4 linked regions of the Lonchura striata genome follow. The protein of the gene in region 1 purifies or fractionates together with the protein of each later gene. This does not show direct contact. Links are inferred from orthologs where the notes say so. Each region holds a gene or a part of one and is shown in the gene's direction. Other genes may lie near its edges.

Region 1 (8,224 bases):
TTCTTGCCCTTCATCACTTATGAACAGCTGTGGTTAGGGAACAGAAAGTGTCTCTATCTCTAAACCAAAGGATAAGAAAACAGCAGTTGTTGGCTACTACAGTTACTTTTTAGGCAAATGATAGAGTTTTCAAAGTTAGAATAATGAGAATTATTTTCGCCAATTTCTAGCTAAGTATAAGCATGTTCAGTGCACTACCGAAAGACACATTAGTACTTAGAGCTACATTTACTATGGGGTGGAGTCTTGATTGCTTGGAACAGCTCACAAAATGTAACAGCTGGACTTGTGTTAGCAGTATACTATGGTAGAAACAGAGGATAAGTGGCAGCTGTGTTGAACAGAAGCTGAAGAGAACAATGTTAATGATAAGAAGCATGGTGTCACCATCGCTGACACCCAGTGTCAGTCAGCTAAGTTAGCTGGCTGTTCATCCCATAGTGAATAAAAAAATGCCGACCCAAAGTAAGCTCCATTCAGAGAAGCTTCTGGTCAGAATGTCCTGCAGGAGAAAATTCTTTTTCCTTTGGTAGCCAAGAGAGACCAGGAAGGCAGGCTGTGGGCTAAAGCAGGTATGGACCTGGAGCTGAGATATCAGCTGCCAGTAGATCACAGGCTGGTTCATATCCTTGCTCATCTCTAACATGGGATATCTGTGCAAGGGTACTCTGCTGTACTTGTGGCTTGGACTTTGTCTTTCATGTGAACTCCCACCTTTGAAAACATTTGTGTAAATGTACTTTGAATTCAAAATTGAAATAATATCAAATAAGTGAGAATATATTTGAAAACCTGTAAAAATTACAGCTTTCTACTTTTTAAATGTTATCCTATTGTGTTTATATAGAAAAGCCCATACCTTTTATTAGTTAATATTCAGAAGTTAGATATTTATTCTAGGCATATATTGCAAATTACGTTGGTTCTAACACAGGTCTTAGTAATTATTACTGTACAGTAAGACAGCTGTGAGGGCAGTTTATGGGTAACAGAAATCCTCTGGCATTTGTAAGGTCTTAAATTTGCCACCGAAATACTGTTAGAAAGAAGAAATGTAATTTTAGTGTTTGTTTGCATAATACAGTTGTTCTTTGGAGAATGTCTTTGGGATAATCCAGTGTAAGTGGGCATGCTGTGACATTTGATTATTAGCTACAAGAAGTATTTGCCCAACATCCAGGTTCCACAAAACCATCTTATATAGGAAGTAGAATTCATGCTACTGCTATCTATGATACATTGTCTTGTTTGAATTGTGTGTTGATTGTTGAGGTCACAATGTTTTCCACAATATTTACAAATTCTTTCCTTAATAGGCACAAGGAAATGTTTTCTGGCTGGAAAAGCTTTCATCATTCAACTTGTAATTGTTAGAACTCTAAAAATGCGCACTTCAGAGCATTCCTTTGAAATAAAGTACATGTATACTGAATTCTTGCCCAGTAATTGTGTGTATCATTTTAGAAAATAATGATAGCTAAAAAGCTAATATAATGTTCAACCATATTCAATGGACTCCCATTGGTAGTTTATACATTTTTATTCTTGTGTGATATAAACATGTCATGAACTATATTGAAAGACACAAACCTGCATTTTCTGTGGAAGAATATGGAATTAAAATATCTGGCATCTCTTCTTTCTGATAATGTAGTATTTCAGACATTCTTAATTGAGTAGTCAGACTGAACAAAAAAAAATGGGAAAACCAGGGACATTGTCCATGTAAATTATTTCAGTTACTATAAAACGGAAGAGTTTAAAAGATCTTTGTGGACTGAATCTAGGGGCTCCTTACTTTCACACAGTTCTCTCTAAGATGCCAGTTACCAAGACTCTGTAATTGCCTGATGTGCTATGGGAAGTCTGAGGGACACTATCACTTTGTGGTGAGCATAGCGTGGCTGCACCACAGGACACAGAGAATATGCTAAATAATGAATGGAAAAGATCTAACAGGCTAAACAGCCCATCTTTCAGTTAATGCAAAATTATTTCCTACATCACATTTCCTGACCTTAGGTAAATGGAATGTAGTTGGAAAAAAGTATCTGGGGATTAATCTAGTTCTCCTGGAAGAATTCTCCAAAACTGACAAGGAACAAACTGAGGGGAGTAAAGGATTATAGGAATGAATCTGTAGCATTCCTATAAACGGTTTCAACTACATGATTAGAATGAATATGTGAGGTTGAGGATATAATGCAGATTTTCTTCAGAAGACATTCTTCAGAAGCAATTAGCCAACTCTGTTCCAGACAGAAGAAAATACATGGCAGCCTGAAAATGAAGATGAGTGATCATAAGCAGACAGAAATTCATGCTCACATAACAGGCAGAAAGGGAACAGAGGCTGTCATAGAAGACAGGTGATTTTTTAAAGGTATTTATCTTAAAAACATCGGAATTAAGACTACGGGGAAACCTATGACAATAGATTTTATTTAAATTTTATTTATTGAGAGCAGAAATACTCCTCTCCTTTGAATTTATTTTTCATGGTTAGCTAATATTTTCTTGCATCCTCAATTAAGGAAATGCAGATCAGTGTGGAATTTAAAAAAAAAAAATGGCAGTGAAAGAGAACAGGGAGCATGTTCTAGACTGTGCCTTCTAGGTTACTTCTCATACTTCTTCTCCTTTGTGTTTTGGAGTCATACCTATAATAACATACTTCTTTCCAACACAAGCCTATATTGCTTTCCCTGCCAGCTACCTATTTCCCAATGCTTTCAGTCACTTTCAGCATAGAAATCTTTTTTCTAGTAAAGTGAGTGATTGTATTCCATAATTTTTAATATGTAATTTAAGAATATATTTTCATGACTTAAAGTCAGTATTGAAAGATCAAACACCCTTTCTAAAGAGCATTTGTGGAAGAGCATCTAAAGTAGGAGGGGAGAGGATGGCACAGGGTAGATAATCTCATATCAGTTTTTATGTGTAAACCCATTTTAGCAGTAAAAAGGGCATTTTAGTGTGGTTTCCTTTTTCTTTTAGCATAATTAAAGCTAAAAGTTAGGAAACTAGCATTCTCCCTAATAACAACAGCTTTATGGAACATTGTCCAGTATTTTATGGCTGCCTTGTCCAGTCTTTATAAATCTAGACAGACATACACATTTTGTGGCTGAATTGAGAAATTATCAAACTATAACTTCTATTTTAACCATGGCCCTCGTGAATGATATATTATAGAATCATACAGCATGTTGTTTTGTAAGTGAGAAAACAAAAGTACATTCAGCAAGACTTAATTGGTCAGTCATATTTAATCACAGAATATTCTGGGAAGCGACATGCAAGGATTATCAAATCCAGCTCTTAAGTGAATTGCCCATATGGGGCTCAAACCCACGGTGTTGGTGATGTTAACACCATGCTGTAATCAACTGAGCTCATCTCAATTAATGCTCCTGATCAAGTAGAAATATGATACAGGAATTACAGAAACACAGTTCTACATGTTAGAAATCCACATACTGGAAATTTAAAACAATTCCTTGGAAAGGATGTTTTCTGTTTATTGGTGGTGGCCTTGCAAATACATTTTATCAGATACACACTAAAATTAATAAATTATATACAATTTAAGTAATCTGGAATGATTTCAGTCTATCCTTAACTCTGCACTCCATTACATTAACAATGCTAAAAATTAGGTAAGTGTATTGATCATGTGGTGAACCTCTGTCACAGTGAAGGTAGTTCCAGTTTCCACAGAATTCATCAATGACTACAAGTAGCTATAACCAATTTGGACATCAGTTCTCATGCTAAATCCTAAATCTAGTCTCAGCATAATTTTCCTATTTGGATTATCACTGACATCAAAGACTGCCAATTAGTCCAGATTCTTCTACCTAGGAGCAAAGCAAAAATCTGACTGCTGTCCACAGATTATGAATATGAACTGAACATGAGCCAGTGAGTGCCCAGGCCAATGGCACCCTGGCCTGTGTCAGCAATAGTGTGGCCAGCAGGACCAGGGCAGGGGTTATCCCCCTGTGCTCAGCACTGGTGAGGCCTCATCTCCAGTACTGTGTTCAGTTTTGGGCCCCTCACTTTCAAACAGAAATTGAGGTGCTGGAGTGAAGGGCTGCAAGGCTAATGAGTGGTCCAGAAAACATGTCCTGTGAGGAACAGCTGAGGGAGCTGGGTTTGTTCAGCCTGGAGAAGGCTCAGGAGGGACCTCCCTGCTCTCTACAGCTCCCTGAAAGGAGGCTGTAGTGGGGAGGGCTTTGGGCTCTCCTGCTGTGCCTGCAGTGAGAGGACAACAGGAGACGGCCTAAAGCTCAGACAGAGGAGATTCAGATTAGATATTAGAATTTCTTTTTCACTGTTAGTATTGTCAGACATTGGAATAAGTTGCCTGGATGGTGGAGTCACTCTCCCTGGAGGTGGTCTAAAAGTGTCTGGATCTAGTACTGGGTGATAAGGTTTAATGCCTCAGGGGTTGCAGTGATAGTGCTGGGTGGATGGTTAGACTTGATGATCTTAAGGGTCTCTCCGACCTTGCTGATTCTATGAAGTGACCTTAGTCCTGATGCTGTGGCCAAATGGAATTACAGCATGCAGTCTGAGCTGGACACTGTAATTCAAAATTGTAATGCACTGTATGTTCTTTAAGTACCAAGTTTATCTGCATTTCTTCTGTGGACCCATTTGTCCCCTAACGGACCAAAACCCCCTCAGTCCTCTGCCGTGACGTCACTGGAGAATGCTGACGTCACTTTGGGGGCGGCAGCTCTGCCCCGCGCCCGCCGCGCCCACTCCTCCCCGCCAGGGGGCGCTGCGCGGGCAGCCCGCCCCGAGCCGCGCGCCGCCGTCACGAGGGCGGAAGCTGCGGCGGGAGCGCCGCGTCCTGCCCGGCGCTTCCCGGCCTGGCCCGGCGCTTCCCGGCCTGGCCCGGCGCTTCCCGGCCTGGCACGGCGCTTCCCGGCGCTTCCCGGTGCCGCGGTGAGAGCGAGGCGGCCCCGGCACCCTCCGGCTCTTCCCCCGTCCAGGCGTGGGGCTGGCGCGGTGCTCCGCGGGCCGGCTCGGCCGTGGCCGTGCCTCCGGCTTCGGGGCGGGGCCGCTTGTGCGGGACTCGCAGGTGGGAGGCGGTGAGGCGGTGTCAGACGGGCCCTCGGGAGCCCGCCGCTGCTCTAGGTAGCTCTTCTGAGGTTTTTCTGTCCATTTGTTGATCTTGTGATTGAGTTCCGGCGATGCTGTGGTTGGGCTGCGTTCTGTTGTGGTGTGTTCTGAGCCGGTGGGATGCGGGAGCAGCGTCTTTTCCTGTTTGCGCCCTCAGAGAGGCCAGGCAGTGCTGAGCAGCTTTACCACGCTGCCATGCCCCGTCTGGCGTGTATTTCCTGGACAAGCCGCGGCTGGGATGTCATGTCTCGAACAAATTTCATGTAGCCTTTGTTTGGCTCATTACAGGAAATGTTTATTTCCAGCTTCTTAGGCTGAATTCTGTGTTCCTTTGAGGCAGCAGGATTCAAGTGTGAAAAGCTTAATTTTGTGCTTGGTCCTGGCACACTGTGAATGTTTTGGTGGCTGTGACTAAAAGAACTGAGTTTTTAATTCAGAAGTTGAACTGTTTATGAGAGCCAGTCTTGGATCTTGGATTTATCATGATGTGGGAAAGGTGTACTCTGCCTAACCTGCAGTACTTGTGATAGCACTGAAATAGGAGAGTTAGCAATTTGTAGTAGCTTGATTGTGACTTAGAGCAGAAAATAAAATCCTAAATAAGGAAGGAAAGAGGCATCTGAATTTGAAATATAGCAGATTATTGGTATTTTGTGTGTTCATCTTATGCATCTGTTGAAGAGTAACACGAATGGTGACCTGGTACAATTGGGGAAACAAAAGGTGGGCCCAGCATTTGATGAAGAGAAGGAAAATTATTAGCAGCTATGGAGTGGTACATTGCCATAGGGTGTCATTTAAACAGCATGCCCTGAGCGCTGTTGACAATACTGTTTTCACTTTGGCATCGTGGCCTTGTTTTCACAAAGTTCTTAACTTTCTAATCTTCAAAATTGCTGTAGTGCCCAAGATTTTGTCTTTTCTATGGGTTTATCAGAGGAAACAACTCGGGCATCTTCAAGAGAACAACCCAACCTGAAATTCAACTCTATATATTGTCTCAGCATCCAGCAGTGTAGTATGTTGTGTGTACTAATCATGCTTTTTTAAAATGAACTGTAGAATTTTAAGGCACAGATAATATTGAATCTTCTGTATTTGAATAAAAACGCTTGAATGTGATGTGTAATGTGTTTCTCTGTTCAGTCTAGATAAAATCTCTAGTGTGAGGCACTGTTCTTAATCAAGTAAATATTGCTAATTCCTTAATTTTCTGGAGCTTGGAGAGGGGTTTTTGGTTTTGTTTTGTTTGTTGTTTTTTGGGCTTATGTGATTGAATTCTACAAGCTTGAGTATTGGATGGTCTTTTTTTCCTTGGTTCCAGTTTCAACTTTATTGAATGCCTAGTATTTCCCTCTACTACAAAGAAGCTTTTTGTACTCCATTAATTTAAGCTCAAGAATTATCCAGGTATTAATAAATTACAGTTTTCTAATTGAAACAAGTAAGGTTTTTGTTTTTTTTTTTTTCCTAAAGTGGTCTGGTCTTCTACCCAAGTCATGCCTGTCTAGATTACAAGTCATTAAGTTATCTATAAAATTGGATTTTAAAATCCTGTGGTTACTGTAAGTACATGACAGGTTCTTTTCTCGTGCGTCTGGTAAATATGCTTGAGTTTATTTTTTACCTCCTAAAATCTTTCAGCTGAGAGAAAATGACTGCAATCAAGCATGCTTTGCAGAGGGATATTTTCACTCCCAATGATGAACGTTTATTGAGCATTGTGAATGTGTGCAAAGCAGGCAAAAAGAAGAGGAACTGCTTTTTGTGTGCCACAGGTATATATGAATACCACACTATATTTCTTATCTTCACCTTTGTTTTTTCTTGGTTGCATTTGTTTTAGCTTTATGTACAATTCTTATTCTTGACTTGTATAAAACAGGTGCTTTCCATTCCTAATGGAGAAAATTATTTATAACTTGTACTTTCATTATTGCTTCTACTAAAAAAAGAAGCAAACCCCACTACTTTTATTCACTGATCTCATTGTAATTTGAAAGGAAAGAATGAAATAGTATTCTCTAGGGACTGGTGGGCTTTTGAAACAAGCTTTATGTAGTGCTTAAAACAGGGTTTAGTAATAATCTAAGCTGATAAGCCTAAATAAAATGCTTTAAAGAATACTGGTTAGAGACCAAGGAAAGGCACAGCAACTGCATTGAGTTCTAATGTTCCTTGAAGTGTATGTTTATTACATTTTATCTCTTTAAAAAACTAGGTGCTTTGTGTTGATCTGTCAATAAATTAGCTTGCTAGAATATTTTTTGACTGAAAAATGTCTGAAAATGTTTTCATTCTGACTGTACTCTCCAGTTATGTCTGTGCTATGTCAGTTATGTGGTCATGGTCCAAGATCTGCTGCATCAAAGAAATAGCTGAAAATTGGGGTCATTACCTCACAAGCTGTATAGAGAAGTATACCTGTTTGGTTGAGACTTAAACTGAGTTGCGGTTATTGTGGATGAAAAGGTTTCAAAATGTTTCTTTTCATCAGATAAATGCTAACAAATCTCCCCCACAGATAATTTGTTTGGGAAGTTGAAGTACAGCAGACACAGATGTGAAAGTAGTATGTGTGTTTTGAAATGACTCTCTTACTTCATTTAATAGTGACAACAGAACGACCAGTGCAAGTGAACGTGGTAAAAGTGAAAAAATCTGACAAGGGAGATTTTTACAAAAGGCAGACTGCATGGGCACTTCGAGACCTTGCTGTTGTTGATGCCAAAGATGCTGTTAAAGTATGTGGCACTTTTTTGTTTAGTCCTCTGCTCCCATGATCTTCTTCATTCCAAGTTAGACCTAACTTCCTTGTTACTGGCTACTTTAAAAATTAGATTGATAACAGGTTAATTAAGATGATACATTCCTGTGCTGCCTGTGCCTGTGTTTTCTTTCAGCCTTTGCAAGACTATAACCCTGGTAAATTGAGTAAGAGTAGTCTAGATACACTTGAATAGCAGTAGTCTCAATATCTGCCCTGTTAGTTGTAGTGATCTTGCAGTGACTGTAGAGAGCATCTGCTAAGGACTAGTAGTACTTTTTCGTTGTTAGTCTTATGTAAAGTCTTACCCAAGCTTCATTT
Region 2 (8,011 bases), on another chromosome or scaffold:
TCCACCCACTCTTTTCTCTACGTGCTCCTCTTAGAGATCAGGAGACAGCGGCAATGTCTGAATACCTGTAGTTGGTCAGTACCCTTTTGAAATCTCTAAAAGCTAATTGTCATTCACCATGTATTTCCCAATTCATCTTTGTCAGTCTTTTATCATCTCTGGTTTCCATGTTAACAACTGGATCTCTTATTTTGCATATGCCTCCCCTGATGCAGTATGACCTTATTCAAATATTCTTAACATTAATTTTCATCATTGTAAAGAAAGGATATTAACCAGTGGATGATAAAAAAAATACATCAAAGAACCCAAAATCCCAGCAACACATATTATGAGCACAGAAAGTCAGTGCCCTAACACTGTAGAAACTTTTTAGTGGTTCACTGTTTCTTTTTCCTTGCAATTAACAGAGACTGAAGGAACTCAGCATGCTTCAATATTAGACAAGCTTTTGTCAGTGAAGACCTAAAGAAAAATCTATATACAAGAACATTTAGCAGACAAAAGGTACTTAAATAACCCACCACCTGTTTTAGAAAAAACACTTGCCGGAAGAACAGTAGTCAGAGATGATCCTGTGACAGCAGATCCTAGCTCAGTGCTTCTTGTCCTCAGGTTGTCCCCATGTCTATGATTTTTGCTTTCTGTGTCTAGTTAAAAGAAATTACAAGTTCTAATTATTCAAGTACAACAAATGCATTTACAAGACCTGCAGTGTTGTATCTTCATATTTGCTAGCTAACTTTTTCTCATACTGGAGAAAATGAGACCAATTTATTACTCAAAATATGATATTTACATCCCATCATTGGCAGCAAATAGGATCCCCAGTGGAGCATGCAGTAATGCTTATGAGTGGCTCACCAAACTTCCATGAATTACTGTTTAATCTATTTTATATAACTTAAAAGATTGTGACTAAAACTCAAATTCTAATAGCACTGATTTCCATATAAATTTTGCATCAAATTGTATATCTTTTTTACTGATTAATATGTATAATATACAGAATCACAGAATGGTTGAGATTGGAAGGGATACTGCTGAAGCTAGTTGTCCAGGACAGTTTCTGTATGGCTTTTGAGTATCTCCAAGGATGGAGACTCTATAAGCTCCCTGGGCAATCTGCACCAGTGCTCAGTCACCCTCACAGTGTTTCCTGATGTTCAGATAGAACTTTCTGTGTTTCAGTTTCCACCATTTATTGCCCCTGGTCCTATTACTGGACACCTTGGAGAAGAGTTTGACTCCATCTTCTTTATACCTCTTCTTTACACAGTCCCTTCAGGCATTTACATCCATAGAGAAGATCCCATTCAGACCCAGCTGTTACCCTTTCCTCACAGGAGAGGTGCTCTGCTACCTTCATAATTTTCATGGCCCTTCACTGGACTCTCTAGTAAAACCATGTCTCTCTTGTACTCAGAAGCCTAAAGCAAGCTTACTGCAGGTGAGGCCTCACCACTGCTGAATGGAGATCATGGATCATCCCTCTTAATCTGCTCTCTTAATACTCCTTATCCACCCCACAGTATCATCAGCCTCCTTTGCCACAAGAGCCATTCTTGGCTCATGTTCAACTTGCTGCCCACCAGGAATTGCAGGTTCTTTCCTGCCAATCTGTTTTCCAGCTGTTCAGCCCTCAACTAGTATTGTTGCATGGACTGGTTTATCCCTAGGTGCAGCAATTTTCTCCAGCCTCTCTAAGCTCCTCTGGATGGCAGCACAACCCTCTGATTTATTGGCCAATCCTCCCTTTTATGTGCTGTCAGCAACCTTGCTGTGGGTACCCTCTGCTCCACCATCCAGATCATTAATGAAGATGTTGAACAGAACTGGACCCCATACTGTCCCCTGGAGTACACTGCTACCTTCTGGGCTCCAGCCAGACTTTGTGCTGCTGATCACTACCCTCTGAGCTTGTCTGTGCAATGTTTTCAATCCATCTCACTTTCTGCTCAGACAGCCCACACTTCCATGGCTTCTCTATGAGGATATTTCAGAAGCAAAGGGGAAATTTAAATTGCAACTGCTCATGAGTGGTACTTTGTAACCCAGAAACAATCTGGCATAGAGAGCAAGAAGGTCCAACTGCAGAAGGGGTTAAGCTAGCTGGAAGCAGGAAGGAATACCAGAGGCAGAACAATCCTTGTAAGGGAGTATTGTTTCCCTTGGTGATAAGAAACAGCCACAGCTTTTTCTTGTAGCTATCCTGTAATGCCTAGCTCAGAATTCTATGTTTGGGCAGCAGAGCTGGTGCTGGGGGATGGATCCAAGGCTGTGCTGAGGTGCTCCATGCTGATGCTCACAGGACTGGTGCTGGTGCAAGTGTATACAAGAAATTGCTTCAAGAAGCATCTTTGCAGATTTCCTGTAGAATCAGTCATGGTTTTAAGACTGTCCAATGCATTGTTTACTATTTTTTAAATATATTTCAGGACAAATGTGTGTATAACTCACTTCAAGGGGAACAATAAAAAATTCTCAACAGAAGAATGTCAAAAGCCTTACTGAAGAAAAGGCAAACCATAGACACTGCACTCCCCTCACCTATCAAACCAATAATTTAATTTCAAAAGGAAATTAGGTTGTTCACATTTATTCCCTTGCTAAATGCATGCTGATTACTCCTAGTCACCTTCTTGTTCTTCATGTGCCTATAAATGGTATCCAGGATTAGCCGCTCCACCACGTTCCCAGGGACTGAGGTGAGGCCAACTAGCCTTTTGTTCTCCTTCTTGCCTTTCTAGCTTTCCTCCAGACTTCACACCCCTCTCCCAGTTGCCATGAATATTTATTTATTCAGTACTATCTAACATGATCCCCTTCCACAAGGTCAGCGAATACATAAGCAAAGTGAACATAGGTAAAGATGCTCCCTTAGACACAGAGGTAGATGGTTATGTCCAATAACCTTTGAACTAACTAATTTAATCTATTACCACTGTTAAAATATTCCAGAAAAGAGATACCATATTATGTGTGATATTGCAAAATCTTATGGAGTACTGGTCATTTTCATTTTAAAAAATTGTTTGAATCGTGTTACATTCAACATTCAACACTACATTCAACTACAACTACATTCAACACTATGAAATCTGCTATGGTATCAGACTTGCACTGTGGATTCATACATGCATACATTTATTTATTTATTTATTTATATGTACATATTTATTTATAAAGCTGAAAACTGCACATTCAGCACACATGGTCCCTACAGTGGCAGATTCAGAATAGCACATACCCACGAAGTATATATAAAACTAAACACTACTTAATAATTGGTTCCTCATTTTCTTCCTGATTTTTTTTTCCCATGAAAAGCTGACATGAAGTACTTATTATTTTTTCCCCTTACCTTTTTTTATGGCAATGAGAGGTGGACAGAGATCAATATGAGGTTTCGAAGAAAGTTTCGTTGCTCTCAGTTGCTCTGACTCCTGCTGTGCAGAGTGACCATCAGTTTCACCTCCTACAGTCTCCTCCATCTGCAGCACTCCAGAAAAATCAACCTAAATCAACAATACAGAAAATGACTATACAGTGTAACATTGTAATAAAGCCACCTTCAGTATTTTTATCCCTGTTCCACCGTCAGGGATAGACTAGCAAGGAAGGGGGGAAAAAAACCTCTACTTTCAGTCGGTGATTTAAAAAGAGAAGATCTAAGCAGTTGTCGAAATTATAAAATCTTCTTTAAGAGTGCCAAAACTTTATGCAGGTTACCAAAACTTGTATTTCTAACTGCACAACTATACTTTCTGTCCAATCAGACTGCCGCAGGTGGGAACTCACACCTGGGGGACAGGTTAAGCTCCTTCCGAAGCTCCTGCAGGTCCCGCTGCGAAGCGCCGGGCACCGAGCTCCGGCTGCGGCATCTGCTGAATCCCAAGCAGGTTTTCACGCCTGCGGTCTCCCCTGGGCACTTGGAGCTGCTGGCAGCTGCTATGGCAACCCCTACACAAAACCCAGCGAGCAACCCAGCCCCCACCAGGCAGCTCGCCTGTCCCCATTTCCCACTGGATTCAGCAAGCCGGTGCCCATTTCTTAACTACCTGTCTTTTGAAAAGCACCGTAGTTTTCTCTCACAGCCCTCGCTGGCTCGGCAGCGCCCTGGGCTCTGGGCGAGGCGTGAGGGGGCACCGCGGGCTGAGCGAGGGGCTCCCCTTCTCCTCTGCCGCGAAAAGCAGCTTCCGCACGGATCTGAAGGCGCCGCGTCAAGTGCAGCTTGGCCGGCTTATCCATTTTCATTACGGAATCACAGAATCAGGATGGAAAAGACCTCTGAGGTCACCGAGTCCACCCAGGCTGACCCAACACCGCCGTGTCAGGCAGCCCATGGCACGGAGCCACATCCACTCATTTCCTGAACACCTCCAGGGACGGTGACTCCACCAGCTCCCTCTGGCAGCCCTTTCCAACCCTTAACAACTCATCCCGTGAAGAAATCACTCCGTGTGCTTCCTTTCTTTCCCCCAGACGACACCCACTGCAGCAGGCGACCACCCCAACCCAAAGCTCTAACACCTCACAGGAGTCGTGAAGTTTTTACTGGCTTTTTTTGTTTGTTTGTTTGTTTTTTTCAAAAACTTTGAACCAGGCCCCCGTAGCACACACTGCGCCCCTTGACACTAAAATTATATTTAAAAAAAAAAAAAAAAAAAGGAAGAGGAGGGGGAGGAGGCGGCGGCGCCGGCAGCGCGGTGCGCGTGCGCGGCCGGGCGTGCGCCGGCGCACCGGGGGCTGTCAGCGCCTCCCGAGCAGGGGCGGCCGCGGCCCCGGTAAGTGGCGGCCGCGCGTCCCGCCCTGTCCCCGCCGCTGTCGGCCGGTGAGCCCCTGCCGGGCTGTCGCGGGTGGTAGGGACCGCGGTGTGGCAGTGGGAAGCCGAGGGGGTGGGGGGCGGGATGGGCCGGGGCGATCCGGGGAGCCCCCCGGGGTTTTGGGGGCATAGCGGGTGCTGAAGGTTGGTCCTGTCCCGGGGCCGCGGCGGAGGGCGAAGGAGCTCGGCGTGCCCGCGGACAGGTCTCCGGCCTTTGCCCGGCACGGACGGGCACCTGCGTCGGTGCGAGTGATTGGAGCTGAGCCGCTGCTGCCAGGGAGGAGCCGGGCGGGTCTGGGGCCGCCGCCGCTGCCTCCCCCGAGCTCTGTTCGGAGGGCTCGCTGCGCTCCTCTGCGGGAGCAGGGCCTCCCCCGGGAGCCTGTCAGCCCCGCTGGCTCGCCTCTGGAGCGGCAGTCCCCAGGATAAGGGTGCCATTGCAGCTGGAGCCTTCCTGAGTCGGCTTGGGACGTAGTTTTGTTCACTTCTGCCTCTATTTTGCGCTGGAGATGTATGTAGTTTTGACTCACAGCTTCTGTAAGAGATTGACGTGGCTTCCTAAAGTTTGCTGTTCCTTTTGGGTGGTTCTACAAGAGCCTGTCTGCCTCGGCGTGTTAGTTACAGTGTGCTGGCTTCTGATTCTGCTGACGAGGTCTCCTTGATGTGCCTAGGTAGTGGCTGTATGAACTCAAGATGTTGTAACTCTGTGGGATGTATTCAGAGTTTTTAATAAGGGCAGTAATTCAGGATAAAGCTCTCTGCTGCAGAATACCATTTTTGTAATAAATGCATACTTTTAAAGTATCATTTTTTTAAATTTTAGGTAGAGCTCTTATAGCTTGGAAATGGATTGAGCCAAATGAAACTGGAGTATCCATTCCAAAGCACAAGTGGTGGAAATAGATCTTGCATGTTTAGATGAAGAGTAAGAAATGAAACATGGTTTGACTTAACCAGGCCAGTAGTAAAGAAGTACAGGAGTTTACACTGTTGAAGTAACTCTGAAATAAGTTCATACTTTTGTATGTAATTCTTGAAGGTACTTGAGATACAGAACTTGAGACATAGACTTGGGCTCTTCCAGAGCTCACGGGCAAGCCTTGCCTGGAATGTTCTTTAGCCATGATAAATTAAAAAATTAGGAATTTTGCTAATGCTCTACAGAGTCTGGCTGGGATGTAGTTAACTTTCTTTATAACAGTGCGTACAGTCTGTGTTTTGGGTTTGTGGCAGAAGGAATGCTGCTCACACTGCGGTGTTTGGCTATGGCTGCAGGGGGCTTGTACCAGTGTGAAGGCTTTCTCTTTCCTCATCTGCCCTCCACTCCCCTCAAGTAGGCTGGGGGTGGGCAGAGATTGAGAGGGCACAGTGGGGACATCTGACCCAAACTGGCCAAAGGGAAATTCCCTACTGTATATCATACTTAGCAATAAAATATTATGGGGGTTTTGTTTCCAGGGTAGTGATTATTCAGAGACTGGCTGGAGTGTTAGTTTGCCTGTGAGGTGTTGTGAGCAGTTTTCTTTGCTTCGATTGTTTCTTAGGGTTTTTTGGGTGCCCCCACACAATGTTTCCTTCATTTATCAATTTTGCTTGTCCCATGAGTTTTCTTGCTTTTGCTCTTTCAGCAAAAAGAAAGAGCACTTTGTTTTTGTAGCGTACTCTGCATGGTTCTTTAGATCACTATTCTGCTGAGACTAAGTGATGTGCTGGGTTTATGAATGCAGACTGCTCTGAAAACAGATATTGAATTTCAGGGAATAATATGGGTATGAGAGAATATAATCTCTAGCTGTGGCAGCAGGACCTAAAATGTTCTGTTTGGTTGCAAGGCTAAAGACATAAAATATTGGAAATCATTTGGAAACAATGAGGAGCTCCAGATACATTCCTCTGAGGTCTCTGGACACCATGGTATTGCATCTTTGGTGATGGGATCCTCCCTATTTTCTGTTAGTAGCTAATGAAGTCTGAGAGAACAGATGTGCCTTGATGTTACCTCTTCCCCGTACTGGTTTGCCTGCAAGTCTTGACTTCACTAGAAATTCTGCTGGAGACTGAGGTGAAATACTTGAATAATTTTTCCCTATACCCCTGATGGACTAGACTGATACTGTGAGAACTGAAAACAAGAGTAGAAAATAAAAAATTACCTATCAGAAGCCTAAATGAAAGTGCTCTATCATTAAGTCTCTGTGCTTGGAGCTTCCACTGCTTATGTTTCTCTCCAGTTTTGGTAGGAGAATTGACCTATTGCTCAGGAGGGCTGTGGTTCTCTTAAGTCCACCCAATTGTAGTTCAGGATGAGTTAGGACTTCGGCTTGAACTTTCTACAAGATCTCATTATGCTTGTCTTATTACCCTTTTAATAGGCCAACCTACCCTTGGATTAAATAGAATCTCTTCTTTTCATGAAGATTTGGTGGTCTTGGGGTGGTGGGTTTTTTTGGTGGTATTTTTTTATTTTTAATTCAAATCTAGATCAAAGTAAATGTAAAAACAGCAACCAAAAACACTGCAGGGGAACTAATGAGACTGAGTTAAGTATTTTTAAATGCAGTTCTTGTAGAATTCCAATTGCTTCTCTTTAGAATGTAGTTTAATGATGCTTCTGACAAGTTGCACTGCTTTTATTACCAAAGTTAATTCTCCAGTTGTTAACTTTGAAATTTCACATAGCCATCAAATGAAAAAAGGTGGGTTTTTAAAAAATGTTTTATTTCTTTTCAGTCCTGTTAAGTAATGAAGGCATTCTGAGGTCCTAACCAGCCATGGAGGAAACGGATAGGGAAGCAGTTGCAACAGCTGTTCAGAGAGTAGCAGGAATGCTTCAGCGTCCTGATCAGCTGGATAAAGTGGAACAGTATCGCAGAAGGGAAGCTCGTAAGAAGGCTTCAGTAGAAGCTCGACTCAAGGTACAAAGTTGGATAAACCTGAGTGTCTGTGCTGTATCATGAGTGTACTTTTTTTTTTTCTGTTTTTTTTTTTTTTTTGAATCTGCATTTCAGCCAGATGGATAGTATTAAACCAGGGACTTCAGTTTTTACTTTGTGTCCAAACCAGAAAATCTGTGTCCTGAAAGTAATGCAAACTGACATTGTACATCTTACTAATGTTTCATTCAAGCATTTCAAGTATTCTTAGGTCTGCAGTTTATTCATGCACAGCTACCCTGCTGTGTAGCCTGTC
Region 3 (7,711 bases), on another chromosome or scaffold:
AGTCAATGCCTGTTCCTTAAAAGTACTGGTAAGCAGAGAGAAAAAGATGCATCAGTGTTTTGTAGAATGCATTTATGCATTTCTAGAATGATAAAGATGCTACTTTGTAGCATCATTCAAACGGTATGCTAAAAAAATATGGTTTGTATGTTGCAATGAAAATGAAATAGTACTTGTTCTTCAATGGCATCTCTAGCATTATATAAACACATGCAATGACAGTGACTCTCCTTTCCACTGCAGTCAGACAGAAGTGCTTCTGTTCAACCAGTAGGTTTGATGCCTTTATTGACTCTTAAAAAGATAACATCAGCACCAGCTGTGGATCTCTCCAAGTATTTTTAGGCACTTGTAAGATGTCAGTGAAATGTCAAAAGCAGTTAGTGATGCACTGCACACCTAACAGGAGAGATATGTGCTGTTCTTACAATTTACCATAAAAAGCCCCTATGTGAAATAGAACATTGTTTATTTGGTATTTTAGTGAAGATTGTTACGTACACTGTCCAATTCATAAATCTAGTATAATTAAAACGAAAAAGTCAATGTATTTATGATTTTGACTACAATTCAGAAAACATAATTCACTTAAATGCTCTGGAAAGAAAAAAGGTAACCTCCCTGCTAATACCTAATGTACTCACTATATATTAGGCAAAAAGTTAAAAGGTAAAAAATGGCAGCGGTAATTCCATCATCTCCTCATCTGCCTGTTTTCCCCAAGAATCATTTGATAAGGTTGTTGCTACCATGCTTCATCTGAGAGGCAGAAATGGGTCTGGCCACCAGAAAACCAGGCACAACGGGAATGGGAGCAGTTCAGTTTCTAGGGAGAAAGAGCTGGTTTGCAAGGATCCAGTCTGGGGATGAGCCCAGGAAAGAAAGCAGTAGCAGAGCAGGAGATGCCAGAGAAATGACTAATGGCATTGTTGTCCTTGTGGAGGGATGTAAAGAGGAGATATCTGGGCAATGACCAATGAAGTAATTTGTTATGGATGGCATTGCATGTGAAAATTATCTATAGTAATTCCATTTGAGGGTGGACATTTTCCCTCTTCTCTCTTTTCCATGATTCATTCAAAATGGATTCCAATCCAACTGGGAAAGCAAATGAAACAGACTCAAAGCTGCTAATTGTGTACTGGCAATTGTAAAAAAAGGAAGTAATCTACACTGGAATTGCATACACAGTAAGGACCCTACTCTACAGCACTTTATACTTTTTGTAAGGTCATGTGGGTAAAATGTATTTTTAAAGTATCAACATAGGCAGGCAAGATTTAAACCAGCAGTTCTTGGCCCTCTGGTATCTCATTAGGGTTGGGGAAGAGTAGGAATTAGGGGAGGAAGGGGAGAAAGGACGTGGTGAAAGTGGTTTTGCTTTAGACAAGCCTTTGCATCCTGTTTCACAATATTGTTGATAATTTGCCTCAATTTCCCCTCTTGCTCTCTTCTGAGCTGCAAACTGTTTTTACACCTTCAGCATGAAATAGGTGCTTTGGATCATTTTTTCAAAGGAAAACCTCAGGATGATTGGAAAGATGGCAACAGCTCTACATCTTACAGGGCCTGAGATTTCTGCCTATCCAGATAATGAAATACTTCCTTCACAGAAATAGTGTGAATTTAACCAGCACAGAAGATACCTTCTTATTTTTCTGCCAGGAACTTCTAGAAGATTAATACCTTCTCAGGCTTCTTAACTTGGTTAAATCTGAACAAGTACAAGTATGATACCTCAGAAATGATAATGTCTACTGTCCTTTTCTGCATGGAGAAAAAAATTACTTAGCATTGTCTTTGGTGACAAACTATTTAGTTGTAGCCTCCAAGTATGTTGTGTATAGTTGTGAAGCAAAGATACACTGTTCTGCCAGAAGCGGATGTCAAGTGCCTATACTGAATTTGTCCCTTTGTATTTTTACAAAAAATACTTTATTTCCTTGAACAAGGCAGTTCCCTAAACCTTTTGAGAGTGGCCCTGAGCTCAGCTGGAAACAGGAAAAGCTCCTGTGTGACTGAAAGATGTAGATGCTGGGCACATCTAATCAGCACTGGAATTATGGTGGGGAGGAGCAGATGACAGAAGTGGGGAAGGGGAGCAGAGGCTGGACAGACAGCACAGGGTAGAAGCAGGGTCATTGCAGCAGAAAGGGCTTTTGGCAGGTGTTAATGTACTGCTGCCCATGATCTCAGGTCAGATACAGATCCACCACTGCACCTTGGATCATCCTCTGGGTGTCATGGTCTTAGGTTCAGTGGGGGTGAAAAACACCCTGGAGAGCTGAGCAGCCAGGCCTGGTGCAATTTGGTCTGATCCTGTCCAAAGAACCAAGGTACTTCAACACCCTCTGCCACAACTGAAGAGACTCTAACATCTGCCTATTTCTTGGTCATTCACCTTTGTATTTGTTTGCTTCTTCTTACATTGTTTTGCTTTGTTATTAAACATATTTATTTCCAGGCAGCTGCGATACCAACAAGAACATTTGCACAACAGATTCAGAGTCCTGTTTATTTTGGTTAGCTGATTTCCTAAAGCAAGCTACTGTTTAAATTTTTGGAAGAGGAGGAAAAAGAAATTTCACCCAAAGCCTCTGTAAGAATTGAACTAATTTAAAATCACGTATTCATAAAAGCATTTTGTATAAATCGTCATGCTTCCATCACTGAGTTCTATTTTGATTGCCAGCCACAGTGTGTGCTGGCTGGGTGTAGATGTCTGAGGCACCTCTGATTTACCTGCCCTGCCTCTGCTCTTCCACAGTGGCAGTAGATGTACTTTCTTCCATCACACGAATAAGCTTAAGCTTGTTATAGTATTTACAGTTTACTTGCACAGTGTCACCTCATAATTGTTAAATTAATTCTGAATCTGGTGACTGTTAAGATTAGAATGAGTAGTTTCAACATCATTCCCTTCATCTGCGTTTGTGTGACATCCAGTGGCTGAATGGGTCAATCGCAGGCTCTCATTTCTGGTGAAAAGTGTAAAAATTACTCACAATTCCACGTAGAACATGAAAGCAGGAAATGTATTGCATAATAATGCTAACAGAGCAATTGCTTAATTTTGGTTCAAAAATAAACCGGTGGTTAAAGCAGCTTGTTCAAGGAAAAACATTGCAAATCTGTATGTAGCCCTAACTCACTGCAACCTTTAGTGCTCCTTCCCACTGCTACTGATGTGAACCCATCTCCTCATTGTTCCCACTGGGCACAGAGAAGTGAATAAACTGTTTATCACTCTGCTCAAAAGTGAGTAAGCTCTGTTTCCTTGCACTTAACTGCTGACTGCACCACGAGTGTCTGGATTAATCAATTCTGTCAGGACAGCACTGAGATCAGGAGCCAAATTCTGATTAAAACCTTTGAAATATTTATAAAAAACAAAATATATTGATTATCCAAATGATATTGAATTAGGCTTCTAAACAGTTGTTTAAACTTAAAGATCTAGAACTCCAGTCTCATGTTTGAAATTAAAGTAATCCATGGCAGTTGTGCAAAGTGTTTTCTTTGCCATCATCATGAAAATGATGTGACAGCAGCACTACTCTCAACATTTGTTATCCATTTTTTTCCATGCAGGTAATAAATTAGTAACAGCTTTTTTTTTTGCTCACACATATAAACCCAACAGTTATCACAAAGCTTTTTCTGCAATTTATTATTATAAATAGCAACTACTAATGCTGAAAAGGAAAATTATGAGAACATAAATGTTTCTGTTTTTCTAATCTGCTTTAGGAGATCCATAAATCTTTTTCATAAATCCAGCTAAGTCCTTGTGTGCAAGCTTTTTATATAGCAAAAGGAAAACCTAATTAAAAAAAAAATAATCTCATAAAACTTATCAGAGTAATTAAGCATTGATGTCTAGTGTCTAAAATTCCTTTAAAGTTGTGTTTTCAAAACGCCTAAATTTCAGGTTTAATATTTATTTCAAGAATGCAAAAATATTATTTTGGCAGGAATTTTGTTGTTAAGACTAATATGTATTAGGCACACACACACAAAAGAGACTGTGCAGCCCTGGGTAGTGCATAAGAGGCAAATGATACCAGCAGACAGGAAAAGAGCAGCTGTGCACCATTCTTGGACACAAAGTCCTCAAGAGTCACGAGGTTAGCACAGGATCTTTTTTTTTTATGCTTGGTTTTGCTGACTACGGTCACTTAGTCAACTATAATAATCAGAATAAAAGTCCTCTCCTAAAGTTAGATTAGTTTTATCCTACTCTATGGCAAGGAAAAGTAAGTCAAATCTCTCAGAATTTTATCTAGAAGAAAATAAAGATCAGATATATGAAAATGCCCTTGCTGAGATCCAGTCCTTTGAGCTGCCTCTTGGAACCACCTTAAGGTATGCTTCTTTTTTTAGTATTATACTCTTTATGATGGATGTGTTCCATTCTATAGTTGTTCTTTCAGTCAGCACAATATATTAGAAACTTTGTTTTCCTGACCCTGAAGCCTACCAGAAAGTTGAGCTTAATTTCAATGTGATTGGCCCTAAGTGAAAAACTACAAACCAAGGTCACCTACTCTGCTCTTTCTTTTCACCTGGACAAATTGATCTGTTTCTGATGGCTGGCTGCAGATTTGTGAAAAAAGAAAGTGTTCTCAAAAATGAAAACAAGGTGAAATTTTCTTTTTTGCGTAACAGTGTTTTAAGTTTAAAGTTAACAGCTACATTTTTAAAGAATTAAGTGCTTCTTAAATTTTTAATAAATGAAACTTCTGTTTAATCACCAAAGACAGAACTACTTAAGGTTTTACTGCTGATATTTCTAAATAGCTGAAGATTTTTTTTTTTTTTTATTTGTAGCTTACGGAAACTGTTTAATGGTAAAAGTGCAACTGAAGAAATTCCTCTGCATATTTCTCCTTTAAAAAGTAATATATATAAGATTGCAATGTAATTTGTCTCAGTATATTGTCAGTATTTGTAGAAGAGTTTTAAAAATAGCCTGCCTAGCACTGTAGGCGTCAGGTTGCATTAACGATCAGGCTAAAAAAAGAAAATTAAATATACCCTGAAAAATGTGTCAATCTATAACTTCAGTATTTTGGTGATGGGAAAAAAAAAAAGAAGAAACGTGGGAAAACTGTTACAGCATTTGAGTAATTTCTTGAAGGAAATACAAGTGGTAGGATTTTTCCCTTTTTTTAATTATGCACTTTGTAAGCACTTGTCTACATTCAGAATAGTCCTTGTTGATTTAGTAGGTGAATCAACAACCTGAATCAACACTGAATATGATATAGGCACAAGCATAGACAAGATGTGCACTGTCTTCGGTGCCATTTATTAACTCGTGTACAGGTGTAGTTGCACCAGGGCAGGAGAGATGATGGGCTTGATAACAATAACTGGAAGGATGCCAAATGCAATTGTAGACTTTGATGCATTCACATTTGTCAAATGTTGTCAGTTCCTTACTGGAAAATGTAGCTACACATCACCCTGAAGTTTTACATATCTGGCCTATTTCTTCACAAGAACTTCCCACTTGTGTGCAGATCATTTTGCCCAGAAAGCAGGTGCATCCTGTCTCCTGAACATGCAAAACCCAAGAATTAATTAATCCCTGGCCACAGGCCACGAAGTGTAAAATTTAAATAGAAAATAGGTTATTCCTCCTTCGTTGACACAAGACGCTTTGCTGTACAAGGCATTAGGAAACACTATGTCAGTTTCTAGTCAAACAGCAAGCCACTGCATATAAAGGTGCAAAACTTTTTTTTGTCTTGGTTTTGTTCTATTTTTACCCCGACCCCCAAGTTTCTATCACGTAAAGAATGGAAGGAATGAAGACTGACATAACGTGAATGCAGAAACCCCCGCAGAGCTCAGGGCTCGGTGCCTTCCTCCCTGCCGGGACGGGCACAGCCCGCACGTGCGGGAGCGGTCGAATCAAAACAAACCAAATAATAATAAAAAAACAAGACCACACCATGAACTAGCCACAAGACCAAACCAGAACTAGCTCAGTGGAAAAGGTCGTGTTGAACCCTACAAGCCTTCAAGGCGTCTCTGCAGCGCGGTGCGGTGGGCGGGCAGCCGGCCCGTGCGGGACAGGGGCCGCACTTTGCGCGTCCCTCGTTTGCCACAGAGCCCTGAGCGGGCCGCAGGGGCTGAGGCCCGGCGGGCGCAGCCGCCCGCGGTCTCTGCCGGACACCAGCGCTCAGAGATGCCGCGGGGACGGAGCGGCTTTGCCGGACTCCCCCGGCCTAGCCCTGCCGTGACAAGGGCAGCGGAGCACCGCCGAGCCGGTGCAAACCCGAAGGGCGCGGCCCGGCTCGACCTGCGCCTCGCCACCTGCCCCTGCCCCCCGCACCGGCAAACCCTCCCCGGCCGCTGCCGCCGGCCCCCGCCGGGCTCCGCCGCCGCTCCTCCCTCGGCGTCTCCCGCAGCGGCGCGGCCGGCGGGTCCCTCCCATCCAAGATGGCGGACAGTCTCCCCGAGCATGATCGGATCCTGCAGGAGATCGAGAGCACCGACACGGCCTGCGTGGGACCCACCCTGAGGTGCGGGGCGCGGCGGCCGCGGCGCCGCCGGCGGGTGAGGCTCCCCCGCCCTGCCCGCTCGCCGGCCCGGGGAGCCGCGGCGCGGCCCGGCCGCGCGTTCTGACAGGCGCTCCCCGGGGACGGCGCGGGGCCGCCGCAGCGCCGCCGGCGGGAGCGGCCGCGCCGGGTGCGGAGGGGACGCGCAGCCCCGCTGCCGCTCCGTGGGGGCCCGACCGCCGGCCCCCGTCCCGGGCGCTGCGGCGGGCAGGGAGCGGGGCTGTCAAGCCGTGCCGCCGCTCTGACAGGGAAGGGGGGCCGAGCTCCGGCTGGCCGCTCCCTGGCATTGTCAGCCGGGGCAGTAGCTGGGCACGGCCCGGCTCCGGCGGGGCTGGCGTGCGGCCTCGGGACGGCGCGGCCCTGGTTCGGCGCGGATGGCCGGGCTCGGGGCGCCCGCCGTGCCCAGTGCCGGGCTTTGCTGCCCGCCCTTGGGCACGGCTCAGCTTCGGGGTGTGCCGGTACCCCCGGCTCTGTGCTGAGAACGGGGCCGAAACCGAATCATGGGTGGGTGTTGTATTGCTCCACTGTGCAACCTCTAATGATGCGGTCTGATACCTACTAGTCCCTGGTCAGTTTGCTTGGAAATGTGACGGTGTTTAGAAGATTTCTGGTATGCCATGACTGCAGTGGTTTGGTTTTCTGTATTTTTCCTCCAATTCCACATACTGCCAAATGGCTTAGCCTGCATTTTGAAAAAAAGGTTTTGCATAACCTTTCCTGTTAGAGGCGAATGTGGAAGTACGTTTCACTTAGAGCTTGGGAGATAAGGGCAGGGCCTGTGGAAAGTGAATTGGGTTATTGAGGAAACACAGGGGAAAGGGGATCTTCATCATGGAGCTTTGCTGGTGCTTCCCCGATTAAAGATGTCTGAAAGAAGTGAAAAAAACATAGGCACTAGCCAGACGGGGAAGAGAACTGTGAATTTGAATGTTATCTCTTTGAAAAGATACAGTGAGCCTGTGTGCAGAAAACTGGAAAAGGCAGTTTGTGTGGCAGCGTGCTGCAGAGCAATGAGCATGGTGCTGCTGGCTTTTCCTGCAGTGGGAATGGTGCCGGCTGGAGAGCGTGGACCTGGCTGGGAAAGGATGAACATGGGTCACATGAGTGAGAATTCCATCCGGAGAACTGGTGGAAGAGAAGTT
Region 4 (7,654 bases), on another chromosome or scaffold:
TTTTCTCTGAAAGTACACCGTCTCCTCCTCCAAGCCGATGTCCCGTTCCACTAAAAGGAGTCAAGTCTTTGCAATTACCATGCATTTGTGTCTTGCCTGCAAAATCAGATTAAAAAATAAATTAATATTTTCATTAAAAAGTCATGGGCTTATTATTTGAAGTGCTTCACACAAAAAAATCTGCTGCTTGAAAATAATGCGTCAAACTAAACATTTTGTAGACAATACAGTTGAGGAGCAGCCTAGAAGTGCAAAAACAAAAGGCCCTGTTCTTTGGCTACATAACAGTAACATCAAAACCAAGCTTATGTAGTGTTTGGTCCATATTTGTTCAAGAAAACTTCTGGACAAAAATCAGTTCAGAAAAGAAAAAAAAAATCATAAAATACCTTCATTAGTTGACTTGAAATGTGGAGGTTTTGCTGCCTGAGTTTTCTGCTTGGACTTCTCCGAGAATTTCTCTGGCTCTTTCACTTTTGTGAACGTGCCCCCACACGTCCTTTGATGTTCATCCCACCAGAAGTCATGTGCAGAGGGTGCTCTGTTCATTGAGCGCTTCACATATCCAAAGTAAGGCGCTCTGTTTTGGCAGGGGCCATTGCACCGCCACCAGTGCTGGCGGTACACATTAATCTCATCATAAAAATCGTGATAGATCTACATTTAGAAAAACAAACAAACAAACAAAATCCACAAAAGAACAGTCACTCAGGAAGTTACAAATTTTATATCACTAGCTCTAAAATGTTTTTTAAAAAAATCTGTTTCCATTCAATTCCTTCCACTACTGCTGTGATTTTTATATTAGCAGTTAAGAGCTAGATCTGAGTAAAAATTTATCAACAATGCTTTAAAAAAAAGATAGGAAGCGTAGGAATATGTCCTGGTTATCTTGTTGGAACTGCAAAAAGATAATTTTGGAAATCTATCTACAATTTCACATAGAAGATGTACTGTTTAGAAAGCATTTCAAACAATACCAGTATTGTATTCTCCTTTCAGTTATTACCTTAATTGATCTTATTAGATGCATTATTTTTAAATATTGACAGAAATATTGACCCTCTATTGACATAAATCTTGACTGCTCTTCACATGGAGCACTTCTGTCCCTGCTACCATTTAAGCTCTTTCTAATTTACCACAAAAGCTTAAAGAAAAATTCTTACAGAGAACATACCTGAAAATTACATGACTAACAGCTCACCACATCTTCCTCAACCTCTTTCCACCACCATCCCCAACAAATAACTATGGAACTAGCATACACTTGGATGCAAATTTGTATTGGTACCAACTGTGGAGTGTCTAATAAGAACATTACTTAATATGCACCAGTCAACCAAAACAGCAAATCAGGAAGAAAGCTCTATTAAAGAAGGTGAAGAGGATTATTCTTACTGTGACATTGGCTCCAGTCAGGAGATTAATACGACGCATGTGCTTGCAGAACTCAGGTCCATGGGACTCACGATCTTTGTAGTTATGAGTAACAAAGAGCAGGGCGTGGATCATTTCGTGCAACAGCGTCTGAAATGATGCAACCATTAGATATTCAATGAAAAGCATTGCATTTTCAGTTTCATTATTAAGCTGCAAGTATTGTACTCTTCTACATTGATTGTGGTTACTGATCTTATCTTTGATTATTCACATACTCAGTCTGGGTCATAAAAACATAATACTTTGATCTATCAAACCAAATTACCCCTATTCCCACATCACTAAAACACACTGCATAATATCACTTCCATAAGCAGCATTCCAAAAAGGAGATATAATCCTCAAATTTAAATTGGATCTTTAAAGACATCATCCCCTACACAGCCCCCAAAAAGAGCCATTTTGAGCAAGCTGAAATTCTACAGCATTTCTGTTGTTAGGCAAATCTGAATGTTCAGCCAGCTCCAAGCAGCAACTCTGGCAGAGGCCCAAAAGCAATAAAATGTCATGTTAAGTCATAACCTATATCCTTATTTTCTGCTGTTGGCCCTTTCAAAACTATAGTCCATGTTTGGTTTGAATATTAAAGGATAATTTTGGAGTTAAAAGCCTGGGGTGTTATTTTCTCTATATAAAGTCAATAAAATAAACAAGTGACTTAAGACTTCTACTGGGAGTTGCCCACTTAGAAACATAAAACTAAAGATTACCATGGTACTGCAACACAAGCCACATGAATGTAACAGTAAAGCCAGTGCTATTTTATGACCTATAAGTTACTGCATAACAGAATCCCACTATGAAATCTAAAATGTTTGTATGAAGTGGCGGGTGTGCACAAAACACTTCACGTGCAGATTCATAAGCCATGTTCGAATACCTCCACAAGATCCTTCCTCGGCCGTAACTTTAGAAGCGGCTCACTGAGACGAATGGAACACAACCCACTACTTTTGTGATATGAACAGATACCAGCAGAGCTGAAAGGAAAGAAGAAAGAAAATACAAAAATGTATTTGTTTCTTTCTTCATTGTAGCACATGAAGAAAACAGAGAATTTAAGTCAGAATGCCATCCCCTGTAAACACATGCTAGGTCACTCAGAACATGGAATAAAATCACTTTGAGTAGTTACCTGAAAAATTCAGCATCATTAAGCAAAGAAAGAAAATATCCACAAGTTCCTTATAGTAGAAAAACCTGGTTTTTAAGGTAGAAGAATGTTTCCTTTAGAACTTGTGATGAACTAAAATACACTGCACAGAGGCTGGAGATTCACGGCAGCAAATGCAGACTTAATTGGCAGTTGTTTCAATTTTACTCCCCACCCTTCATCAACTTTTGGCTCATACTGAACCTACATATACCTCCACTTCTGTGCACTAATCCAGCAAACACGACTTTTTTTTGTTTGTGTTAGTCCTACTGAGTTAGCCCTCAATCGGTGCAACATCCAACTGTTTCCAAATGTCTAAAGAATACCGCAGCCAGCAGAGGATACGAGGTGGTGGGACTTCCAGCTGCTAGCAACTGCATCTGCTGCAGAACTGCAGCCTGCACTTTAAAGATTTCTAGGTTTGTTTAACCTCAGATTTCTTCTATGTTCCCCTTCCTAGCCCATTCTAAATTTTTCTAATATACTATTATTGGTTCATATTTGTCCTTCTGCTGTGCAGTAAAACTATCATAAAAACTGAGAACCAGAGCAGCAACACGAGCATGTGAGGCTTCCATACACATCATCTAAGACCAAGTAATTTCTTCCATTTAACATCCCTCCAGCTTGCCTGCATCCCGTGGAAAGCCATTGGTGGCTGCCACGGACGACAGATGCAAGGCAAGGGAGACAATGACGGCGACCAACTCACGTCCCGCCGTCCGGGCTCTGCCGGCGCTGCGGAACATCCGAGTGCCCGGGAAGAGAAGCCACGGCACCAGCAGGGCGCTAGCGGGGCACGGCGAGGAGCAGCACAGACAAGCGACAGCTCCTGCCGACACCGCGCACGCCGGCGGCGGCGGCACGGCGGCAGCTCCCGGACACACGGACCGGCCCGGGACAGCCCAGCCCCGGCAGCTCGGCCCACATCCCCCTGCCGCACCTGGTCATGCGGGGGCTCCAGGACACCGTGACAGCCTCCAGCTTGCCCCAGAAGAGCGTCTGGTTGAAGTGCACGAACAGGCCGTGCACGTCCGGGCTGGGGTCCAGCAGCTCCCACGCCTCGTCCACCACCGACAGCGGGCGGAGGGATGAGCCGTACGGAGAGACATCAGGGCGCTTTGCTGCCGCCGCCGCTGCCTCGTCCTGCTCTTCCCAGTCCCTCTGCAGCCTGAGGGCCAACAGGAAATCCTCGTCCTCCATCCCGAGCGCGGCTCCGTCGGCCGGCACAGAGCGCAACCGGAACGCGCAGCGGCCGCGACGCACGCGCAGCACCGCCCCGCGGGCGCCGCCGCCGCGTCCTTCCGAGTGCGCGGGCCGGCACATCCCTGCGCCGCTTCCCTTCCCTTCCTTCCCTTCTCCTCGCTTGCTCCGCTCCGCCTCCGCCGGCGCGGCCCCATCCCGTCACCGCAGGCAGTCGCTCCGGCCGCGGGGCGCAGGCGCGGCGGGTGTCGCCGGGCGGGTACCGGGCGGACATGGCGCTGTCGCTGGGCGAGGGCGGCGGCGGGAGCCGGCTGCGGCGGCAGCTGGAGTCGGGCGGCTTCGCGGCGGGGGAGTACGTGAAGCAGCTGTCGCAGCAGTCGGACGGGGACCGGGACCTGCAGGAGCACCGGCAGCGCATCCAGGCGCTGAGCGAGGAGACGGCGCAGAGCCTGAAGCGCAATGTCTACCAAAACTACCGGCAGTTCATCGAGACGGCGCGGGAGATCAGCTACCTGGAGAGCGAGATGTACCAGCTCAGCCACATCCTCACCGAGCAGAAGGGCATCATGGAGGCCGTCACCCAGGCCCTGCTCCTCCAAGCCGACCGCGACGACCCCGCGCTGGGCGCCCGCCGCGCCGCCGCCGCCGACCCCTTCCTGCCGCTGTCGGCCAAGGAGGCGGCGGCCAGCGAGGAGGGGCGGCAGCGCACTCTCACCACCCTCCTGGAGAAGGTGGAGGGCTGCCGCGACCTCCTGCCCGAGAGCCCTGGCAAGTACCTGGTGTACAACGGCGACCTGGTGGAGTACGACGCGGACCACATGGCGCAGATCCAGCGGGTGCACGCCTTCCTGATGAACGACTGCCTGCTCGTGGCCACCGCCCTGCCCAGCCGCCGCGGCGCCTACCGCTACGACGCCCTGTACCCCCTCGACGGGCTGGCCGTGGTCAACGTCAAGGACAACCCGCCTATGAAGGACATGTTCAAACTGCTCATGTTCCCCGAGAGCCGCATCTTCCAGGCTGAGAACGCCAAGATCAAGAAGGAGTGGCTGGAGGTGCTGGAGGAGACCAAGCGCAGCCGCGCCCTCAGCGAGAAGCGGCGCCTGGAGCAGGAGGCTCTGCCCCGGCCCGCGCCCGCGCCCCCCGAGTCCACCAACCCCTTCGACGAGGACGAGGAGGAGGAGGATGAGCCCTCCGCCGAGGAGGAGGTTGTTGACCTCTCACTTGAGTGGATCCAAGAGCTGCCCGAGGACCTGGACGTCTGCATTGCCCAGCGGGACTTCGAGGGGGCGGTTGACCTGTTGGATAAGCTGAACGAGTACCTGGCGGACAAGCCTGCGAGCCAGCCCGTGAAGGAGCTGCGGGCCAAGGTGGATGAGCGCGTCCGGCAGCTGACGGACGTGCTGGTGTTCGAGCTGTCCCCGGACCGCTCGCTGCGCGGAGGGCCGCGGGCCACCCGCCGGGCCGTGTCCCAGCTCATTCGCCTGGGCCAGTCCACCAAGGCGTGCGAGCTGTTCCTGAAGAACCGGGCGGCCGCGGTGCAGACCGCCATCCGGCAGCTGCGCATCGAGGGCGCCACGCTGCTCTACATCCACAAGCTCTGCCACGTCTTCTTCACCAGCCTGCTGGAGACGGCCAGGGAGTTTGAGACGGACTTCGCCGGCAACAACGGCTGCTACTCGGCGTTTGTTGTCTGGGCCCGCTCGTCCATGAGGATGTTTGTAGACGCCTTCAGTAAGCAAGTGTTTGATAGCAAGGAGAGTTTGTCAACTGCGGCAGAGTGTGTCAAGGTAAGAGAGTCCAAAGAGTTGGGTGGTGGGGCACAGCAGCTGAAACAAAGGCTTCAAAGCTTTAAAGTCTCGTCTCTAACTCTGGTTTGGTTGTTGACTCTTGTGTGGGTCTCCAGAAAGATTTCCTGAGTTGAAAGATTAATATTCATTCGAGGTTTGTTTGGTTTTTTTTCAGTTTAACAGAGGAAATCCTTAAGGTTATAATACAGGCCAAGGAAAACCCTGCCTTTATCAGGAATGCAAAATGTGTTAATTCTTAATTTACCTGTAACTAGTAGGAGGTCCTAAAATTTACATGAACTACACCTGAATTATAAGTACTTCAAAACTTTCTCTTTGTTCTCCAAGGCTGTCTTTAGGTACATTTTCATACTTTTTTTGCAAGACTAACTTTCTCAGGTTATGCTTTCTTTTGGCTGCTGATTGGGAGGGGGGGAAAAAAAGTTTGTGCATGTGGGTTACATAGTGTAATTGTCCAGAGTTTTTTTGACAGCCAGGGTGTATCTTTCAGTTATTAATTTCTCATTAATGAGATTCTTAAAGCACGATAAACAAGTATGAGTAACCCATCTCAGTTTTCTGAGATGAATTTGATAAATGTGTAAGGTGAAAAGGGAGCCTGCACACTAATAACATCCTTTGCTTTTCTTTGTTATCCCAGGTGGCTAAAGAGCACTGCAAGCAGCTGAGCGAGATTGGACTGGATCTCACCTTCATTATTCACGCCCTTCTGGTAAAGGATATCAAAGGTGCTTTGCAGAGCTACAAGGATATCATCATCGAGGCCACCAAGCACCGCAACTCTGAGGAGATGTGGAGAAGGATGAACCTGATGACTCCAGAGGCACTGGGGAAGCTCAGGGAGGAGATGAGGAGCTGTGGGGTGGGCAATTTTGACCAATACACGGGGGATGACTGCTGGGTCAACCTCAGTTACACTGTAGTAGCTTTCACTAAGCAGACTATGGCCTTCTTGGAGGAAGCGTTAAAGCTTTACTTCCCAGAGCTGCATATGGTTCTCCTGGAGAGTCTGGTGGAAATCATCCTGGTGGCTGTCCAGCATGTCGATTACAGTTTACGGTGTGAACAGGACCCGGAGAAAAAAGCATTCATTAGGCAGAATGCCTCTTTCCTGTATGAAACTGTCCTTCCTGTTGTGGAAAAAAGGTTTGAGGAAGGAGTTGGAAAGCCAGCCAAGCAGCTACAGGATCTGAGAAATGCCTCAAGATTGATGCGTGTAAATCCGGAAAGTACCACCTCTGTGGTGTGAAGTGAACCTAACTGTTCCTCAGAACAAGGTGGCAGCACTTACTGAAGATTGTTGTACATTGAACAGATGAACTAAACAGGGGTTTTTTGAGTCCCTGAAAGATGCAGAACTCTTATCTGCTGCATTCCAGAAGCTGAAGACTTTGAATCAATGCCTGCAAGCATGCAATGCTTTACTTGTTGGATGGGGTGTAGGGAAGTGAGAAGGTGGAGGTCACATGTCCTTGACAGCATATCCTCTATGAAGGGCTTGTGTAGTATTTGTGACGTGGGAAATAACTGTAATACACAAATTTTGGCCAATTGTTTGTGAAAGTCTTACATACATATACAGCAGATGGCAGGAAAAGATCAATTCTCATCATGTCACTGTAGCAGTTCTTTTTTAAGGCAGTGTTCTGGTAGGAGGGTAAGTGCTGAAGCATTCCCAGGGTGTGGTATTCAGTAAGGCACGTCCACCATCCACATGTGACTCTGCAGATAAATGACATGGATTTGCACAATGTGATTTTTGTGGTAGCAATGCAGGCTTTTCTTTAACATTGAGATTATCTTAATTCATTTCAGAGGCAGAATGAAATAAAAATGCTTTTAATATAGGTTCTGGTGTTTGTGTGAAGGGGCTTCTTCTGTTAAGTAAGCTGGCCTGTCAGCTTGAATTATAGTTGTCTGAAAACAAACCTGCTGTCTGAACAATTTGTTTGCTTCAAGAGAAGTGAGAATAAATTTCTTCCTTTCCTCTTTATGTTCCTCTTCCATGTTTTCTCACGGATCTAATTGGGGTCATGTCCAT

Evidence for each region.
Region 2: the proteins of EXOC1 (region 1) and EXOC3 purify together in Homo sapiens (affinity purification with mass spectrometry; 5 studies listed by BioGRID and IntAct, counting the BioPlex papers as one, with this or other methods). This does not show direct contact. The link is inferred for Lonchura striata from reciprocal best matches to the Homo sapiens genes EXOC1 and EXOC3.
Region 3: the proteins of EXOC1 (region 1) and EXOC6 purify together in Homo sapiens (affinity purification with mass spectrometry; 4 studies listed by BioGRID and IntAct, counting the BioPlex papers as one, with this or other methods). This does not show direct contact. The link is inferred for Lonchura striata from reciprocal best matches to the Homo sapiens genes EXOC1 and EXOC6.
Region 4: the proteins of EXOC1 (region 1) and EXOC8 purify together in Homo sapiens (affinity purification with mass spectrometry; 3 studies listed by BioGRID and IntAct, counting the BioPlex papers as one, with this or other methods). This does not show direct contact. The link is inferred for Lonchura striata from reciprocal best matches to the Homo sapiens genes EXOC1 and EXOC8.

Annotation. Positions count from the first base shown.
Region 1 is NC_134606.1:27,480,176-27,488,399, forward strand, and holds the start of EXOC1 (exocyst complex component 1), read left to right. Parts: upstream 1-4,846; 5' UTR 4,847-4,959; intron 4,960-4,992; exon of another isoform or gene 4,993-5,151; intron 5,152-6,780; 5' UTR 6,781-6,790; coding exon 6,791-6,914; intron 6,915-7,749; coding exon 7,750-7,880; intron 7,881-8,224.
Region 2 is NC_134603.1:61,285,637-61,293,647, reverse strand, and holds the start of EXOC3 (exocyst complex component 3), read left to right. Parts: upstream 1-4,715; 5' UTR 4,716-4,787; exon of another isoform or gene 4,788-4,834; intron 4,835-6,779; exon of another isoform or gene 6,780-6,782; 5' UTR 6,783-6,884; intron 6,885-7,552; 5' UTR 7,553-7,593; coding exon 7,594-7,737; intron 7,738-8,011. Other genes in the region: dynein axonemal heavy chain 5, read right to left, coding at 550-650, 3,365-3,494. UniProt on the Homo sapiens protein: Component of the exocyst complex involved in the docking of exocytic vesicles with fusion sites on the plasma membrane.
Region 3 is NC_134609.1:17,132,305-17,140,015, reverse strand, and holds the start of EXOC6 (exocyst complex component 6), read left to right. Parts: upstream 1-4,179; 5' UTR 4,180-4,243; coding exon 4,244-4,365; intron 4,366-6,394; exon of another isoform or gene 6,395-6,450; coding exon of another isoform or gene 6,451-6,533; intron 6,534-7,711. UniProt on the Homo sapiens protein: Component of the exocyst complex involved in the docking of exocytic vesicles with fusion sites on the plasma membrane.
Region 4 is NC_134605.1:43,611,041-43,618,694, reverse strand, and holds the start of EXOC8 (exocyst complex component 8), read left to right. Parts: upstream 1-4,049; 5' UTR 4,050-4,074; coding exon 4,075-5,592; intron 5,593-6,253; coding exon 6,254-6,862; 3' UTR 6,863-7,654. Other genes in the region: DNA-dependent metalloprotease SPRTN, read right to left, coding at 1-96, 390-657, 1,402-1,530, 2,324-2,423, 3,543-3,802. UniProt on the Homo sapiens protein: Component of the exocyst complex involved in the docking of exocytic vesicles with fusion sites on the plasma membrane.